Struthio camelus: one gene and its partner. Each later gene encodes a partner of the first gene's protein in a complex. Links are inferred from orthologs where the notes say so. Each region holds a gene or a part of one and is shown in the gene's direction. Other genes may lie near its edges. The genes, in order: GTF2A1 and ERCC3.

Region 1 (7,930 bases):
TAATATGTGCTGCTGCAGTTGGAAGTTAGATGTGTAACTCCCCATTCTTTTGGGAAACTGTTAGGAAAGAAGGGGGTAGAAAGCCTCTCTCCCTTCCTGATATTATCATTATGCCACGAAACATGCCTTTAAAAAGTGTTTGCTGGCTTAGCTTGTATTTAGTAGGACAGTGTAATATACTGGCTGAAAACTGTATGCTGCTGTCATGTCCATAGTGGAAGACTTTTCCTGCCCAACTACAGTAGCAAAGACCAGTAGCGTGGACAAAACCTAAGGATGATGAAACTGGAAGATGTGCTGGTGGTAACGCGTGTTCTGTATAATCTGTGTTACAGCTTTGCACTTCTATAATATAGTTAAAGCCAATTTCTGTTTTCCTTGTCTAAATAAGCCCTGGGGAAAATCTGTTTACATAATTACACTTACCAAGTTTATCAGATGTTTCCAGAACTAAGAAATTATAAAGCACTGTGTCAGCAACATCTGATACAAGGTACTCTGTGATTCATTGTATGATCAGAAACGTTTTCACCGAAAAATCAGGGCAATCTGATAGTGATCCTCTAGTTGTATGAGATTAGGCTTATTCATCATCTGTTCTTGGGAGAGAGAACATCAGCTTAACTTTTTTCTTTGTATTTTCTTCAGATGAGCCAAAAAGCCTCTCTATTTAAAAATAAAAAAAAAATAGAGATAAATAAAAAGCTGAAGGTCATAAATATAATCTATCTTGACTTAATACTAAAGAAAGCATCACGATCTTGTGGTTCTTGTTTTCAGTTGAACTAGCCCGCAGCTTTCATGGAAATTACAGATACTTATCACCTTTGAATTTCAAGTCTGCTCCTGCCAGTAGCAAGTATTTATGCAAATATTTTTTATCCCTCTTACATCAGTTCTCCTTTTGCAAAATATCTTCTTGAAAGATATGCTATGCATTAGTAGCAGTCCATTAGTACTTGCAAAGAACCTTAGGATGGAAGTGTTATCAACCCAAAAATCATAATGAAAATGGCTCCCCCCTTCCTACATCTGAATTAAAACAAAAAAAGACAAAAAAACCCCAAACCCTTCTTGTAAAAGATGTAGTTTTGTGACGCACCACAAAGGAGAGGTGCTAAGAACATTTCCATAAACATTTACATTAACTTAACAAACTAATGTTGCAGTAGTAAGTCACTTTCTTGCTCCACTGAGAGCAAGGGATGCTTATGGCACTTACAGAACAGAATCATTCAGGGCACTGAAGTAGGCTGTGCACCTCTGAGTGCATGGCTTTGGCTATAAAAGATGATTTGTGTGTCTTTGTCCTAAACATTTAGATTAGAAATGATTTAGATTTAGAAAGATTGTTGATCATACCTAGGATTGAGCTTGGGACTCTTCTTGTAATGTATGTCCTCACTCAGCATGCCAAGGATTGTTTTTTGATCTAAGGCAGTATTGTGCTTTTTCCTTATGCTATTCCATCTTTGGCACTCTTTTTGCGATGAAGGAAGGAGAGGACCCAAATGTTGTCATCTTCATACTGGGTATAAAGTAATATAATGTGCATCACTATGGAGTTCACGTCTAGATGGTACAGCCGCTATAACATGAACGTCCAGTCAACACTGAAACTTGCACTATTAGAGCAGCAAAATCAGGCTGACTTGGCAATGACAGAAACCTTTGGTAGAAAAAAGACAGGATAGCACATAAGCTTAGTATGATCCACTCCTGACTGGCAAACAAAAGAGAATGCTAATGGATAAACATAGCTAATGCTAGTGGTTATGCTGTCTGTCAGTTTATGTATACTAGTGCTATCCAGGTTATCAGTGTTCCTACTGTACCATAGGTACACACTTATGTTACTCTAGTCTAACAGAATTGCTAAATGAAGTAGAACCCACCAACATGAGTACAACAGGACAGCTGTGGATGCTGGCGAAGCAGGAAGGCGAACAGACTTCAGAAAGCGGCTAACAACTCACTTGCTCTCCCTAAGTAGTAAATCTTACTGCCACCGGATTAGCCAGAGCGCTACCCGACTCAGTAGGGCATTTCTTACGAGGCCTTGATTTTCCTCATAGCAACGTTCTTTTAGAAGCTCTTGGAAGTTAGCAGTGCCACAGATTCCCTGGATATCATTGGAAACTGTGGCTATGCACACAGGATAACCTAGGAGCATAGTCTACTGAACTGTGTGCCTGTTCCACAAAGCAGTATGACACCTCACTGAACCATTACTGCTACCATGTCCACCTGTTAATTTTTGAATGGCTCGGTGGGCCGCCCTCAAAACCAGGGTAGGCTTAGGTCTATCTAAGGAAAGGAACTGTAGCTTTCCAGTGCCACTTGTATCCCTCCCCTTTTCAAGGCAATATGATTCATTCCTGGTGGCACACTAGTTACTGCCTGTCACTTCAGCAGAGCAGGAGACAGAGCGAGTGAGAGAACTAACCATGTGTGAACTCAGCCTGTCCTAGCTGTGAGAAAATAAATGTACCTTTGCTAAAACCTCTTCTTCAAGTTTTGAGTGACTATTTGTGTAGTTATTTCAGCTGTGGAAAATGCAAGGCTTTGACTGTGAGCATTAGACAATTTACAAGTCCAATTTACAAACTCTCTGAGAGAGTTTGATGTCTCTGATAAGTAGGCAGTAAAGGAATACTAGCATTTCAGTCCCTGTAGTTCATGCATGGTTTAGCTAATGTTAGATCATGAATTATGGCTGCTGAGGAGGTAGCACCCCTTCAGTCCTGTCACTTCTGCCATGGGAGTGGAAATGCCCAGCAAAAAGGTGGAGCAGACAGCTGAGGAAGGTAAAACTTTGTAAACTCTGCTAACAGTCTCACGTTCAGGCTATTTTTCTGCCAGGGCTCCAGCAGATCACGCAATGAAGAGTAGGTCCATCAGATGGCCCGCTGTAAATCTGTCATGTCCCTATACAAAGTCTGCGTTTCAGATGGGAGAGGAAGCATTCATCACTATAGAACTGAAGAATTTGGAAGAATGGGATGGGACAGGAAGGTCTTTGTATCGGCCAGCACGTTCCCTCCTACTGAAGGATACCAGACGGTTGTTCTCAGACTTGCTACTTAATGGGTAGGGCGTTAGGTTGAAGGTCACAAGTAGTCGCACAGTCTTCATGCTGAGGAGGTGTAACATGCTATGCTCTATGTGTGAGGAGTCAGAATTCAGCATTACTTTATGTCTGAGTGAGACTTACACAGGTGACTTATTGGTGATAATCTACAGGATGAGTTGGGTTCAAAACTTGCACTAAAAAGGACTGAGTGAAGATGGCAGTGGTGAGTGAACCTAATTTCCATTTAACAGCATTCAAGGTTGAAAGGATTTTCCTGCATTATGTGTCTTACAGGTTGCCATGAAAAAGGGGGATAAGGAAAGGGAGAAGAGGCAATAAAGAGGGGAAACGAGAAGCCACCTGGCATGGCTCTGACAACTCCTCGTGCAGTTGGGAGACCCTGCGGCCACTGACTCCATCAGGATCAGCTAAAGGAAGCAGTTCTGCCCAACGCAACATTGTCTGAGGGCCACAGTGAGTCCCTGATGGAGGACCCTGCTGACTTTTTGATTTTAACCTTCTCCCTGCCCGGGGAAGCTGTAGCCTAGGTTTCCTATCACCAGCCTGGAGTGCGTTGCGGAGCTTGGAAGCACTTTGGGGCCTGTGGCTGACAGAAACAGGCCTTAGGCCCGTGGCTGCTTTGTGTAACTGCTGGTGGCTGAAGGCATGAGCCCCCATCGGGCGAGGCTGAGTTTAAGACGTGTGTCCTTACGGGGCAGGGAGAGCGAGGCTGGGGATTTCTGTTGTTGTTTGGTTATCAGGGAGCAGAGGGCTCCTACAAACGTAGTCGGAGTGGTTTAAGCTCTGCCGTGCCTGGCTGGCAAGGGCTGCCGGCTCACGACCAGCAGTTAAGTGCCAGCTCGGTTGAAGTCAGGCCTCCTAGTGTAACGGCTGCCTGAGGGCACCCGGCAGCCCCCCGGGCCGGGCCCACCCCGCCCCGCCGCAGCCCACTGCTCCCGGACGCGCTGAGGCGAGGCGGGGCGGCGCGGCGGCGGCGGCAGAAGCAGCCACGGCCAGGCGAGCGCCTGGCGCGGTGACATCACGCGGCGAGAGGCGGCGCCTCGCTCCCACCGCCTCTAGCCGGTGAGGCGGCAACGCGGCGACTTCCGCCTCGGTACGCCTGGCGGTGGCGAGAAGGCGGTGCGTGACCTTCCGCACCGACTTCCGCCTCAGTAAGTGTCATGGCGGCGGGGCGGGCACCTCACGTGACGCGCTCGCAAGGGCGCGCTCTCGCGCAGGCTCTCGCGGTGCCTCGCCGCCCCCCCCCCCCGCCCGCGTCCCCCTCTCGCCCTGGCCGCTCGCGCAGCTGCTCGGCTCTCGCTATATAAAGGGGCGAAGCGGGCAGAGCGGGCGGCTGGCGGCGGCGGCTGCAGCCCCAGGGCCGGCGAGCGAGGCCGGGCCAGGCCGCGGGGCTGCCCGTGAGCCGGGGCGGGACGCGCGCGATTTTGGGGGGACGCAGCCGGGCAGGTTTATTGTTTTAGGGGCGACTCCCCCCGCGGTTGGGGGCGTCCCGGGGGGCTCGGGACATGGCGAGCTCGGCTAACACAAACCCCGTGGTAAGGACCGGGTCGGGGGGCGAGGGGGGCCCGGGGGCAGCGCAGGCAGCGGGGGCCGGCAGGGCTCGCTGCCCCCTCCCCCGCGCTGCTTCCCGCCCGCCGCCGCCTCGGACAGTCCCGTCTCTCTTTCTCTCTCTGTCTCTCTCCCTTCCCCCCCCACCCCCGGCGGGAAGGGGCAGCCCGGCGGGGGCGGCGGGGGGCGCGGCGGGGAGCCCACTTGTGGCGCCCGGCGCCGGCCGCCTCGGCGGCGGGGAGGAGAGAGCGGAGCGGCGGGCGGCGGCGGCGGCGCCGAGGGGCGCGGGGAGGCGGCGGCGGCGGCCGGGCGCGGGCGGCCAAGGCGGGCCGCGGAGCCCCGCGGGGAGGCCGGGGCCGCGCCGCCGCCGGTGGGGACGGGAGGGGAGGGGAGGGGCGGCGGGGGGCGCGGGAGGGAGCCGCCGGGACGGGGGCGAGAGCGGAGCGAGGCGCGGGGCCGCCGCCTGCCGCCGCTGCCGTCCCGGCGAGAGGGGAAGCGGCACTCGGGCCAGGTTTCGGTTTTGTGGTGTCTGTGAGGTGAAACCCGCCCGGGCTCTGCTGGAGCCATTTTATGTTGCTTTATAACGAGGCGACGATGGTTGAAAAGCACTTATCCCAGCCCTGCAGGATCGGCTAAACGAGGCGAAAGCCCTTAACTTTTTTCCAGCGAGCGAGGAAGTATTTATTTTAAGAAAGAAAACTCTTACCCCCCCTCCCCGGTCTTCACCTTCTTGTGCTTTCTGCACCTTCTTGGGTGGCTTGCTGTTGTACTGGTATTCACATAGGTTTGCAATAAGCAGTCACATAAACCTGCGTAGCCACCGAGCCCCACCGATCGCTTCTTGCCTTTTCCCCTTTCTACGCCGCAACCGGCCCCGAGCCCGCCCCCGCACCGCCGAGACAAACCGGGAATCCAGGCGGCCCGGCGCGGGCTTGGCCCCTTGTTTGTGGCGCTGGGATCCATCATGGCCGCCCCTGCCTTTCTGTCTCCCTGCGCCTTGTGTTCCTCCTCCCTGCGGCTGCCCTGTTTATATAGAGCTATTGCCGCTCTCTAATATAGACTCTGCCTGGATGGGAAGGTGCTTTCCAGCCCCACGTCACCGCCTCTCCATTTAAACACCACATCAGCCTTTAAATAGGGAGAGAGCCGCGGAGAGCGGGCTGGGAGGTGCATGCATCAGAGGCAGAGGCTGAGAGACAGTCTTTTTGTCACTCGGATCCTGTGCCGGGTTTAGCTGGGTTTGCTGTTGCGCCCGGCTGTTGCTCTTCAGTCCCAGTCGCTGGAGCGAGCGGGCTGTAAAGCAGTTGTGCTTTCTGTCGGCTCGAGTAGAGGGGATGCTCTCCTGACTGGTGATCGCTGGTGTAAATGGACTTTCCCCTGTATTTATGCATTGCACAAAGGAAGGGATTTTTCACCCTTTCCCATGTTGTGAAAGTGTTTGTTTTTTGTTTGCTTGTGGGTGGGATTTTTTTTTTTTCTTCTTAGAGAGTGCAGAGTCCTGTGTGCCCATAAGCTCTTCTAAATAGCCTTTCTGCCGGGTAGGGAAAGAGCAATTTAAATGATTCAGATCCAGTGTGTCAAAAAGAGATGTGGTACTTGTCCTAGGCACTTTGCCAAGGTCCGAGCGCGGGCTGACAGCAGCTCTGGAGCTAAAAGCATCATTAATTAATATTAAAGTTTTGTCTGTGGGTAATGGGCCACAGGTACTACTTAAATACTTGGGAGTGTTTCTGGTGACAAAAGCTAATGAGCATGCAAATATTTTTATTACAGACTGGGAAGAGCAAAGATTTTAGAATTCTACTATTTTTTCATTTAATTCCAATTATTAATTATTTAATTATTTTATATGCTGCTTAAAATAGCAGTAGTAGCAAATGTAAAACATACTATTTTTTTCTTTCAAATCTGAAATTTCACAGACCTGCTTATGATGTAGAGTCATGTAGTCGCCAGGTAGCATCTGTTGCTTGGATATTTTAGCAGATTTTGCATCAGAGAGTCTTAGAAAATTAGTCAGTGATTACATGCAGGGCAGTTGCTCAGTAAAAGCATATCATGTGTGTGACCTAAATCTGTTAGTTATCTTTCTCTTCATAAACCTCTGGCTTTGTTTTTTTAGTTGAAAAGGTTCCATTTCTGTTATTTCTGTACAGTAAATTAGAGGTTTTACTTCTCTCTCTCTCTCCCTCCCTCCCTCCCCCCCCCTTTTTTTTAATCAAGTTAGTAATGAATAGAAGAAAAAAGATATTACTGTGAATAATCTCCAAAGTACTTGTAAATATCTTTGTTGCAGCAGTTTACTCAGGCTTGCTTTCTCTGGGCTGTATCTCTATACTGGAATAACAAAACCTTTGTGAAAGTCTCTCGGGAAATGTCTGTGTTTGAACATTCTGTTCAAATTAACAAAGGCAAAACTTAAAATGAGCCTGATGAAGCTAGCTATGCTTTAGGCTGATTCTCAGCTAAGCAGAACCTTGCAAAGATCTGCCTATTGCGATCAGTAGTGCACGGTTAACTTTGTAAAATTCAAATTTCATTCAGTAGTAACAACGACTGCACTTGCCCACTTTGATAACCCTATGGTTAAGAGCAGTTTGAAACACTGCAGCTGCATGATAACTTTAGCAGGCTAGACTTTTCCAACAGCATCATGTCAACATCTGATCAAATCTCAATTGCTAGAAGTGTGTTCTCCCTAATACAGGGCATATAAAATGTTAATGTTTATATGCAGTAAAAGATTTTGTAGGTGATGAAAGTAATTCCTTTGTAAAAGTCTGACAGCTGCAGTAATTGCTTATAAATATATATTATAAAGTGTTACTTCTTTTTATGCACCTGTTTGATGTAATTGTAACTGAAACTAGTTACCTTTACAATATGTTCTAGCTATCCTTAAAGGAGCTCCATGGGCAAGAGGAATTGATTGGTGGTATTTCAGAGATAATTGCAGAAGTAACCAGGGACAAACATGCTGCAGGCTTTCTGCATTAGACAGCAATATCTCTTCATAATATATTGGTTATTGGAATCCCAACTGTTGAAATCCTGGGCGTTGTAATAAGACCTACAAAGAGGTGCAGTTCCAGTACCCTCGAAACTCTGGTGGAATGCAGGAAACATAAGTCCCCAAAGGCATATGGTGGTTCTTAAAATAGCTTGCTAGTTGCTTTGTGGAGTGTGTGTGTCTTGGTCTTCACCGTACTCAGGGTTTTCTTTTACAAGATGCACAGGCAGAGCGAGACACAATCGTTTCCTTATGTTCCCAGAGGGGGAATTACTGGA
Region 2 (7,821 bases), on another chromosome or scaffold:
GGTCCAATTATTAGAGAATACCAATGGAAAGAATACTGTTGCAGGGTTATATTTTGCTTTTCTGTAAATGCCAAGATGAAGCTGTACTCGCAGAAAATAAGAGTCAAGGTTGATAGCGAGTATGTGTATTTTCAAAGGACTTATCTGCTAATGAATCTTATTATTCTGGCTGTTTACACATATTAAGTAACAAAAGTTTAACGACTTGTATAACTTGACTTTAGTGGTGATAACTTTCATGGCATTTTTTGCTCGTGGCTCTCTCTGGCACAAATAGAATTTTTATTGCTGTTTCAGCCGATCTTATTAAACTTCTGTGTATTTTTTAACCAACTTTGGCTGGAATGAGGAAAATGATGAATAACCGTTCACACAAGTTCCATTTGATGGGAACACAAATGGGTGAGCCTTGATCCAGCCCAGTCCTGTTCGAGGAGCAGATTGTTCATTTTTAATTTGGAGGATGATAATATCCATGCCAGTACAGAAAAAAGGTATGGGTATAATTGACTTTTTTCTTGATTGATAAATCTGTTACTTTCTCAGTTTTAATTTAGTCTTAAAAACTCACTTGATTTGCAATTCCTACTGTAGCTAAACAGTCCTCTCAGTATACCAGCATGATAAGTTATTTAACAGCTGGTTTTTTAGCTAGTGCCTTTTTATCTGTATGCCTTAGTTTTGTTCATATTTGAACACCGTATTGAAATGCTATGGCTGTCGTACAATTCTGTGTCACCAAAACAGTCTTTGAGTACATTTCTCAAGTGCCCAAACCAAAATTCACTAACTGCATTGAAAAGTGTTCTTCATGTGTAATCTGCTGTAGACTTTTAAATTGAGACTTTAAAAAAGTGATTTTTGAAGTACTTCCTGATGAGTACTACCTAAGCTAATACAGTTTTCATATTGCATTTTGGAGACTGTAAACTGATGCAGAAAAACTACTTCTCTGCACTCATACAGACGCTGTTACAGCCAAGATACAGTTTCCTAGCTCTCTGGGTACTAGACTCTGGTTTTACTGCAGAGATCTTAAAAGTTCTTAATGGGCTAGTAAGTGACGGTTGGTGTACTTCTAAATATGTTACTGTACTCAAAGTTGTCTACTTTCAATATAGAGGAATATTAGTTCTGATTTAGCAGTTCGGCAAACTCCTCAGTGAAGCTAGCTTTGTTCCCGTTAAACTGTTCCCTGTTTCTGTTAGATAATCCTAATCCTGCCATTGTCTTGACTGAAAGCCTTCTTGCAGCACCAGGAGGTACAGTGCAGTACAGCAAGCCATTCTTTTTAGACAACATAGAGCAATGCGTATGCAGCTTCAGAGACTTGAGCAAATTGATCAGATCTATAGTTACTTAAAATTGAATTTTGATTTTTTTTTTTTCAGTCTTGAAAGTTTGTCATGCATATGAAAAAGCGTAACTTGTGTGCTTGAATGTAAGTCCATATGGTGTTTCTGGAAAAGCAAAAGTATTACTGCCAGTATCTCTTCTTCTTGCTGGTAACTTGCTGTCTTGTGTTCATGACAAGTATGCAGTGTAAAATCACATACAATTACCAAAGCTTTTCTATCCCCATCTACATATAGCCAAAAGTGATGTTTCATGGATTAGTACTGTTCCTTATATACGCATATATATGTCAGTAAGCTATCGCTAACTGAAGAAAGCAGGTACTAGTAAAAAGTGATGGACACTGCCCATATTTAAAAGATTTGGGTGTTTGTTGTTGCTGTTTTGATGTGCAAAATTCATGCCAGCATTAAAATGAAGAGTTTGTTTTTTAAAACTCTTTTTAACTTAATCTTATCGATGTCATTCTAAAAATAACGTACAAGCTTGGTGACTGCATTTGGCAACTTACTTTGTAGCCAGGTTTGAGTTTTGGGACACTTACGGAATACCATGAAGAAAAGTAGATTCGTGATCCACGTTGCTCTGTGCTCCACAATAAGAAAATTTCAAAGCTGCTGCGAAGCAGTCTGTTTTACTTCAGAGCCAGATCTCACCCACAACTTTAAGGGGTGTATGCTGCCTTCAAGAGGAGCCCCAAACGCACACCAAAGGGGGCAGAATTGCTTCCAAACTGGGGTTTCTAACTCAAAATTCTTGATCGGAAGCAAAGGATCTTTTTTCATTTTATTTTCTCTGCTTTGCCTATGCACAGTCCATTTTTTCATTTTAATTGGCATTACTGAAATACTGCGTAGGTGGTGGCCACCGATAGCTTCTGAATTTCACGAGCGTTAACATAGAGCGAAATGCCACGGCTCCGCCACGGGAGTCAGAGGCCCTGCAGATCCCTGCTGCTGGAGGGAGTCGGGCTCAGGCTGCGGGGTGGGCGCGCTGGGGCAGAGCAGCGTCGCGCGGCCCTGCGCTCCGGGGATGCGACCCGTGTCCTGCAGCTCCTGGCCATACGGGGAGTTTGGCAGGTGACTCTCGTGGCCACGCGCTGTGCTACATAAAGCAACTGGTTGGTTTCTCTCTAGCAATGTATACATCCGTATATTTGAGGGGCAAGGGGAGATGGAGAAAATTCTCGTGTATCAAACAGTGTTAGCAGTCATGCTTTGGCTAGGTCTTATTTCTTCATGAACCTGCTTTAAAGGGAGAGGAACTGGATTAAATACGTTAAAATCCTATCTTGTGATTCAGTCCTTACTCTGAGTCCACTGATCAGGACTGGAGGTCAAGGTCTTTTGTGGGGAAATAAGGAAAAGGATATGGTAACTCTAGAGTGGCTACTTGCAGGAAATATTTCAAATGTTTTTCATGTCTTTTCCCCCAATAATAGCTTATCCTTTTCCCCAAAGAGTATATAATGTGGATTTAAAAACAAGGATTGCATTTTCTTTTCTGAACAGGCATCAGATTGTCAGTTTCCTAGTGTTTGTTTCTCATGAATACCAGTTTAAAAGGTGGTGTCATCCTAAAATTGAAATAGTTTATTATGAAAAATAGTGTCTGTCATCTCAGACCTCACGCAAGTCATATAAAGGAATATCATTGTAAATATGTGGAGGGAGACTTAGATAAATTGGAACGTAGGCTTTTAGTTTTCATGAAGCTAGGAATTAAAATTTGTAAATTTACTCTTGATCTAATGTACATTTTTTTATGTAGCCATTAAATTCTCTATTTAATCTATCAGTTTCTCACTGTAAATGTTTTTACTCTCAGTTGAATGCTGGGCACAGTTTGTAATGTATGTACACAAAGGTGTTTTTTTCTATCAACGTTGACTTTTTTGCACATTTCTGGAAATATTTAATTTGTACACTGATTTAATACTCTGACCAATTGTTGAGGGGCGTATGAGAATCACGTGTGTGTGCAATGTACTACTGTCTGGATGTATGGTTTTTTTATTACTTTTGAGATGTTGCTATCAGTAACTGCACTGCTGTTGCTGCTTTACATGGAATATCTTGTGTATAAAAAAGAAAAAAAATTAAAAATTAGCCTATGGTTATCTTGGTTGAGGAACTCAGGAGTTGAGCGTTGCTTACTAGTTCCATTTGTCTAACAACCTTCCAAACTTAAGGGTACTTGTAATTCTATGTATGCGTTGAATGGTTGTGTGTATATATATATATCCCAGTAATCTTATTCCACAATTTCATTTTTACATTTTTATGAACTTGTTTTTTAAGGGTACTATGTTTAGTTAGAATAATTAAATATATAAAAGCTTTGAGAGATTATTTACTAGATAAATATATTTTCAGCTGGCTGATGTTCAAAATATTTTTTTAATTTTTGTTTTTAACCATTCAAAATGTATTTGTATTTCCAAAATCAGACACGAATTGTACTTTAGAGATGATATTAAAACACTCTGTAGGGACAACAGTGTGATTTCTCTTTTAAGAATTTTGTTTAAAAAAAAAAAACGGACAAAAAACCCCAAATGCTGAAGTATTTAATTGATGCAGAGAAAATACACTGTTCTGAAAAGGTGAAAAGCAATCTTTGAATCCCCAGAGCTGACTGGGGAATAAAGAAGGGGGAAGACAACACCAGTCGGGGAAGCCCCTTCTGCGCTCCCCTGCCCCGGTCTGCCTCGGGCTCTCCTTGGCAGCCCCTCTCCCTTGCTCCTTCGCTCATGCTGGGAAAAGATTAAAGCACCTTTGTCCCCCTGCTGATGGGTGAACGTCATACGTTGGCAACATGCTTTAAAGACTTGGCCTACTCTCTTACACGAGCAGCATGTCAATCCAACACCTGAATTTCCAGTGCTCTTCAGAAAGCCTAAAGCGGTGCCAAGGAAGGCTTGTCGCGCTAGTCCCGCGGCGCGCTGCTGCCTTGTCCTTAAGCCCTAGCTCAGAAAGAGCTGACCGACTCCGTGCGCTCTGTCCGTCGCCTCTCATGCACGTTTGACTTTGTTATGTTTTCAAAACTGTTCTTGTTTAAAAAAAAATTATAAACATTTTTGATTTTTTTTTAAACCAGTTTCTCTGTATTTACCTGTTTTATTTTCTTGCTGGTCGCTGCCTTTCCGTTCGCCCGGGCGGGCAGCAGCCACCTCCCTCCCCTGCGCGGGCGGCCGCGGCGCCTGCCGAAAACGGCGCTTTGAGCGTCCCCAAACGGGAATATTCCACTTCCCGCTCTGCCCCCGGCGCGGCGGGCGGCCGTGACGTCACGCCCCTCCCCGGCGGAAGTGACGCGACCGTTCCCCCCCCCACACTGCGGGGCGAGGCGGCCATGGGCAGGAAGGAGCGGGGTGAGCGCGGCGGGGGCGGTGGGGGGGGGGGTCCGGCTCCCACCCCCCATTCAACGCCCCCCCCCCCCCGCTCACCCCGCTCCTGATGGTTTCGCAGACAAGAAGAAGTCCAAGAAGCGCCATTACGAAGAGGACGACGAGGAGGACGATGACGCTGCCGGCAAAGACCCGCAGGAAGCGGTGCCGTCCGCGGCCGGGAAGCAGGTGGAGGAGAGCGGCGCCCGGGTGGACGAGTACGGCGCCAAGGATTACCGGCAGCACATGCCGCTGAAGGCCGACCACGCCTCGCGGCCCCTCTGGGTGGTGCGTGCGGGCCGCGCGGCCGGCGGGGGCGGGCGGGGGCCGCCGCGCCGGGCGCTCCTTTCTGCACGCGTGCAGTCACCTTAACGGGTTGGGGGAGCACGAGTACGTTAGCTAGCTGTTTCCGGGAGGAATGCGAAACCGGCTCTGGCAGAAACCGGTGGAGTTAATAAGACAAGTAGGATGCGTTGGTCCCTCACGCAGTAACTTGGTTTGTACGTTGGAATGAAACGTCACTAATCAACGTGGTCTGATATCCCCTATCTGGTACCGTTTGTTTTCTCTGCGTTAAAAGGGAAGTCAAGAAACCTATGTAAAACATGGCCAATAGCGAAAGCATATTTAGAAGAGGCAGCTGCCCTGCCAGCTTCTGCAGGGTGTCTGTTATTGAATGCTGTGAAACACAGTTGGCACCTTTCCTCCTCTCTTCCTTCTGGTAAAATGGGGGACGGGGAGGAAGGGAAGTTTGGAAGCTTGCTCCTGTTTGGAGCAAGAAAATGTATTTTTTTTTTTAATTGTTAAAACAAAGAATGAGAAAAAGGCTAAGATGTTAGTCTAGAAAGCTTAATCAATCTGGATGTGTTTTTTTTGTTAGCATCCTAGAAAGGCTACTGACAAACGCAGAAGATGAAAGTTTCATATTCCTGTATCTCCTTCTGTGTCTTGTCAGTTTTTGTAGTTCTGTGTAAAGTTTTCTCTTTTTTTTAAAGAGTCTCAACACCTTGATGGGGAGAAACAGCTACAGTGATATACAGTGTATATTGTGTTAGTTTCTTCATTTCTTTAATTTAGGTCTTGTTTATAAAATTATATTATTTCTGCTTGTTGTAATTTCATTGTTAGGGTCGTCACTTTTTCTGAAACGTGGTGATAACGTTATCACCTAAAGAGTGAAGTCATTCTGTGTCATAACAGCTGTTTGACAGGACACTCCTTGTTTTTCTCAACTAACATTGGTGTGCTTTCAGCATGTTTTTTCTTCCTTGTGTAGGCTCCTGATGGCCATATCTTTCTGGAAGCCTTTTCTCCAGTTTACAAATACGCACAGGATTTTTTGGTTGCTATTGCTGAGCCAGTGTGCAGACCAACACACATCCATGAATACAAGCTGACTGCTTACTCGCTTTATGCTGCTGTTAGTGTTGGCTTACAAACAAGCGACATCACAGAGTATTTACAAAAACTGAGCAAGACTGGTGTCCCAGATGGAATAATTCAGTTTATCAAGGTAAGCCTATTATGGGAAATTTATCTGCTGCTACTGCGGAAATCTCTTCCTGCTGCTGCTGCTGCTTCATTGGTTTTTACTCACTCATTGCTTTCACAGTCATATTCTATCCTGTTACTCTGTTTCAAGAGGTCAGAGACTTTACTGTGGATAAAGACAAAAAATAAGATACATGGTTGCACAAATAATATTTTCATAATGTAGCCTATATGTGGCTTATAGCTTGAAATGGAGGTCCTAAAACAAAGCCTTAGTGTGCATGCTTTAGGCCAGAGGAAACGCACGTGGAGTAAGCTTCCTCATATTTACTCTGAAGGTTAGTAATGTGGGAAGTTAGCTGGAGTAGTTGGTGCACTATAAAACAGAGCCTCCTTATCTTGCAAGTGTGTTTTTGCCATCCTAGAAGGAGACTGGAATTGAATATAAAAACTGAATGTCTGTGGTTGATCTCCTATGTGAGATGATGTATGCATAATCTGAAAGTAGTTGTTAAAGTAGTTTTTTTTCCCTAAGCATAATAACACTGTAAGTAAATGTTTGACTCTGTTGCCCTTTCCCACAAAAAATGGAAATGTGTTGCAGTATCTGATCCCAAACCTAGAAACAATCCTTTATACGTTCCTAATGACTATTCTTATTTGTTTGTAGCTGTGTACTGTCAGCTATGGGAAGGTAAAGCTGGTACTGAAACACAACAGGTAAGCAGCTTCTTCCTTAATTAGCATGGAGGAGGAAGTCTTCGAAACAAGCGCACCGCTGTACATAAACAACTCTGACTGTGGTCTCAGTAGCTGTTGAGTTGAAAACTGCGTTACAGCTCCCAGTTGATTGCGACATACATTACCACAAGATCATATTCTCAGTTGTTTCAAAGCATTTAATGCATTAGTCAATGCATTCAGTTTGACTCTCCTGAGCTCCTGGTGCTGATCATTACGTTACTGCAACAGGATACTAATTTGATGTTCTAGCTTGTTTCTTTATTGCTTGGACTTGCAATGTCTCATTAAGGTTTTCAGATAATTGTTTCATTCATTCACTCCCAATTTATAAGAATCTAGGTTAGAAAGCTTTTCTACAGCTGTCCTTCAGTCTCATGTGTTTTTATTTGTAATCTGTTATTCAGGAAGGACAAGCAAGTGGCCTGACAAGAGGCGTGTGTTTGTGTGAAATCTGCTTACTGGATTGAATCTGATGTGTTCTATGTATGGAAGATAAAGTTGGAAGGAATCTTGAGAGATCCACTGGTTTAGAGCTAACCGGTTTTATGTAAACCTATGATTTTGAGGTAGCGAGAGGAGAGGGAAGGAGAAAGCAGAAAACTCAAACTTCTCCTAACACTTTCCTGTGTTATCCCTGTCTCCCTTTCTTTTCTTCATAAAGTTCTTTTCTGTCTTACAGCCGCAGTTGAGCCCTAGGACTCTAATCTAGTGTGCTGCTGCTTCTTTTTTGATTCTAAAACTAATGCTAGGATTATTAGCAGGCTTTTATTGTCTTATTAGATGTCTCCAAGAAAAACATTTCCCCTTTGCCTGTTCAGATTTAAGTCTCTCTTGGTTCACATTTT

Evidence for each region.
Region 2: GTF2A1 (region 1) and ERCC3 share a complex: the UniProt entries of both Homo sapiens proteins name them as parts of the TBP-based Pol II pre-initiation complex. The link is inferred for Struthio camelus from reciprocal best matches to the Homo sapiens genes GTF2A1 and ERCC3.

What each region holds. Positions count from the first base shown.
Region 1 is NC_090946.1:60,987,571-60,995,500, reverse strand, and holds the start of GTF2A1 (transcription initiation factor IIA subunit 1), read left to right. Parts: upstream 1-4,348; 5' UTR 4,349-4,599; coding exon 4,600-4,629; intron 4,630-5,547; exon of another isoform or gene 5,548-7,930. UniProt on the Homo sapiens protein: TFIIA is a component of the transcription machinery of RNA polymerase II and plays an important role in transcriptional activation. TFIIA in a complex with TBP mediates transcriptional activity.
Region 2 is NC_090947.1:29,887,945-29,895,765, forward strand, and holds the start of ERCC3 (general transcription and DNA repair factor IIH helicase/translocase subunit XPB), read left to right. Parts: upstream 1-4,629; 5' UTR 4,630-4,707; coding exon 4,708-4,726; intron 4,727-4,801; exon of another isoform or gene 4,802-4,823; coding exon 4,824-5,029; intron 5,030-6,017; coding exon 6,018-6,254; intron 6,255-6,902; coding exon 6,903-6,952; intron 6,953-7,821. UniProt on the Homo sapiens protein: ATP-dependent 3'-5' DNA helicase/translocase. Binds dsDNA rather than ssDNA, unzipping it in a translocase rather than classical helicase activity. Component of the general transcription and DNA repair factor IIH (TFIIH) core complex.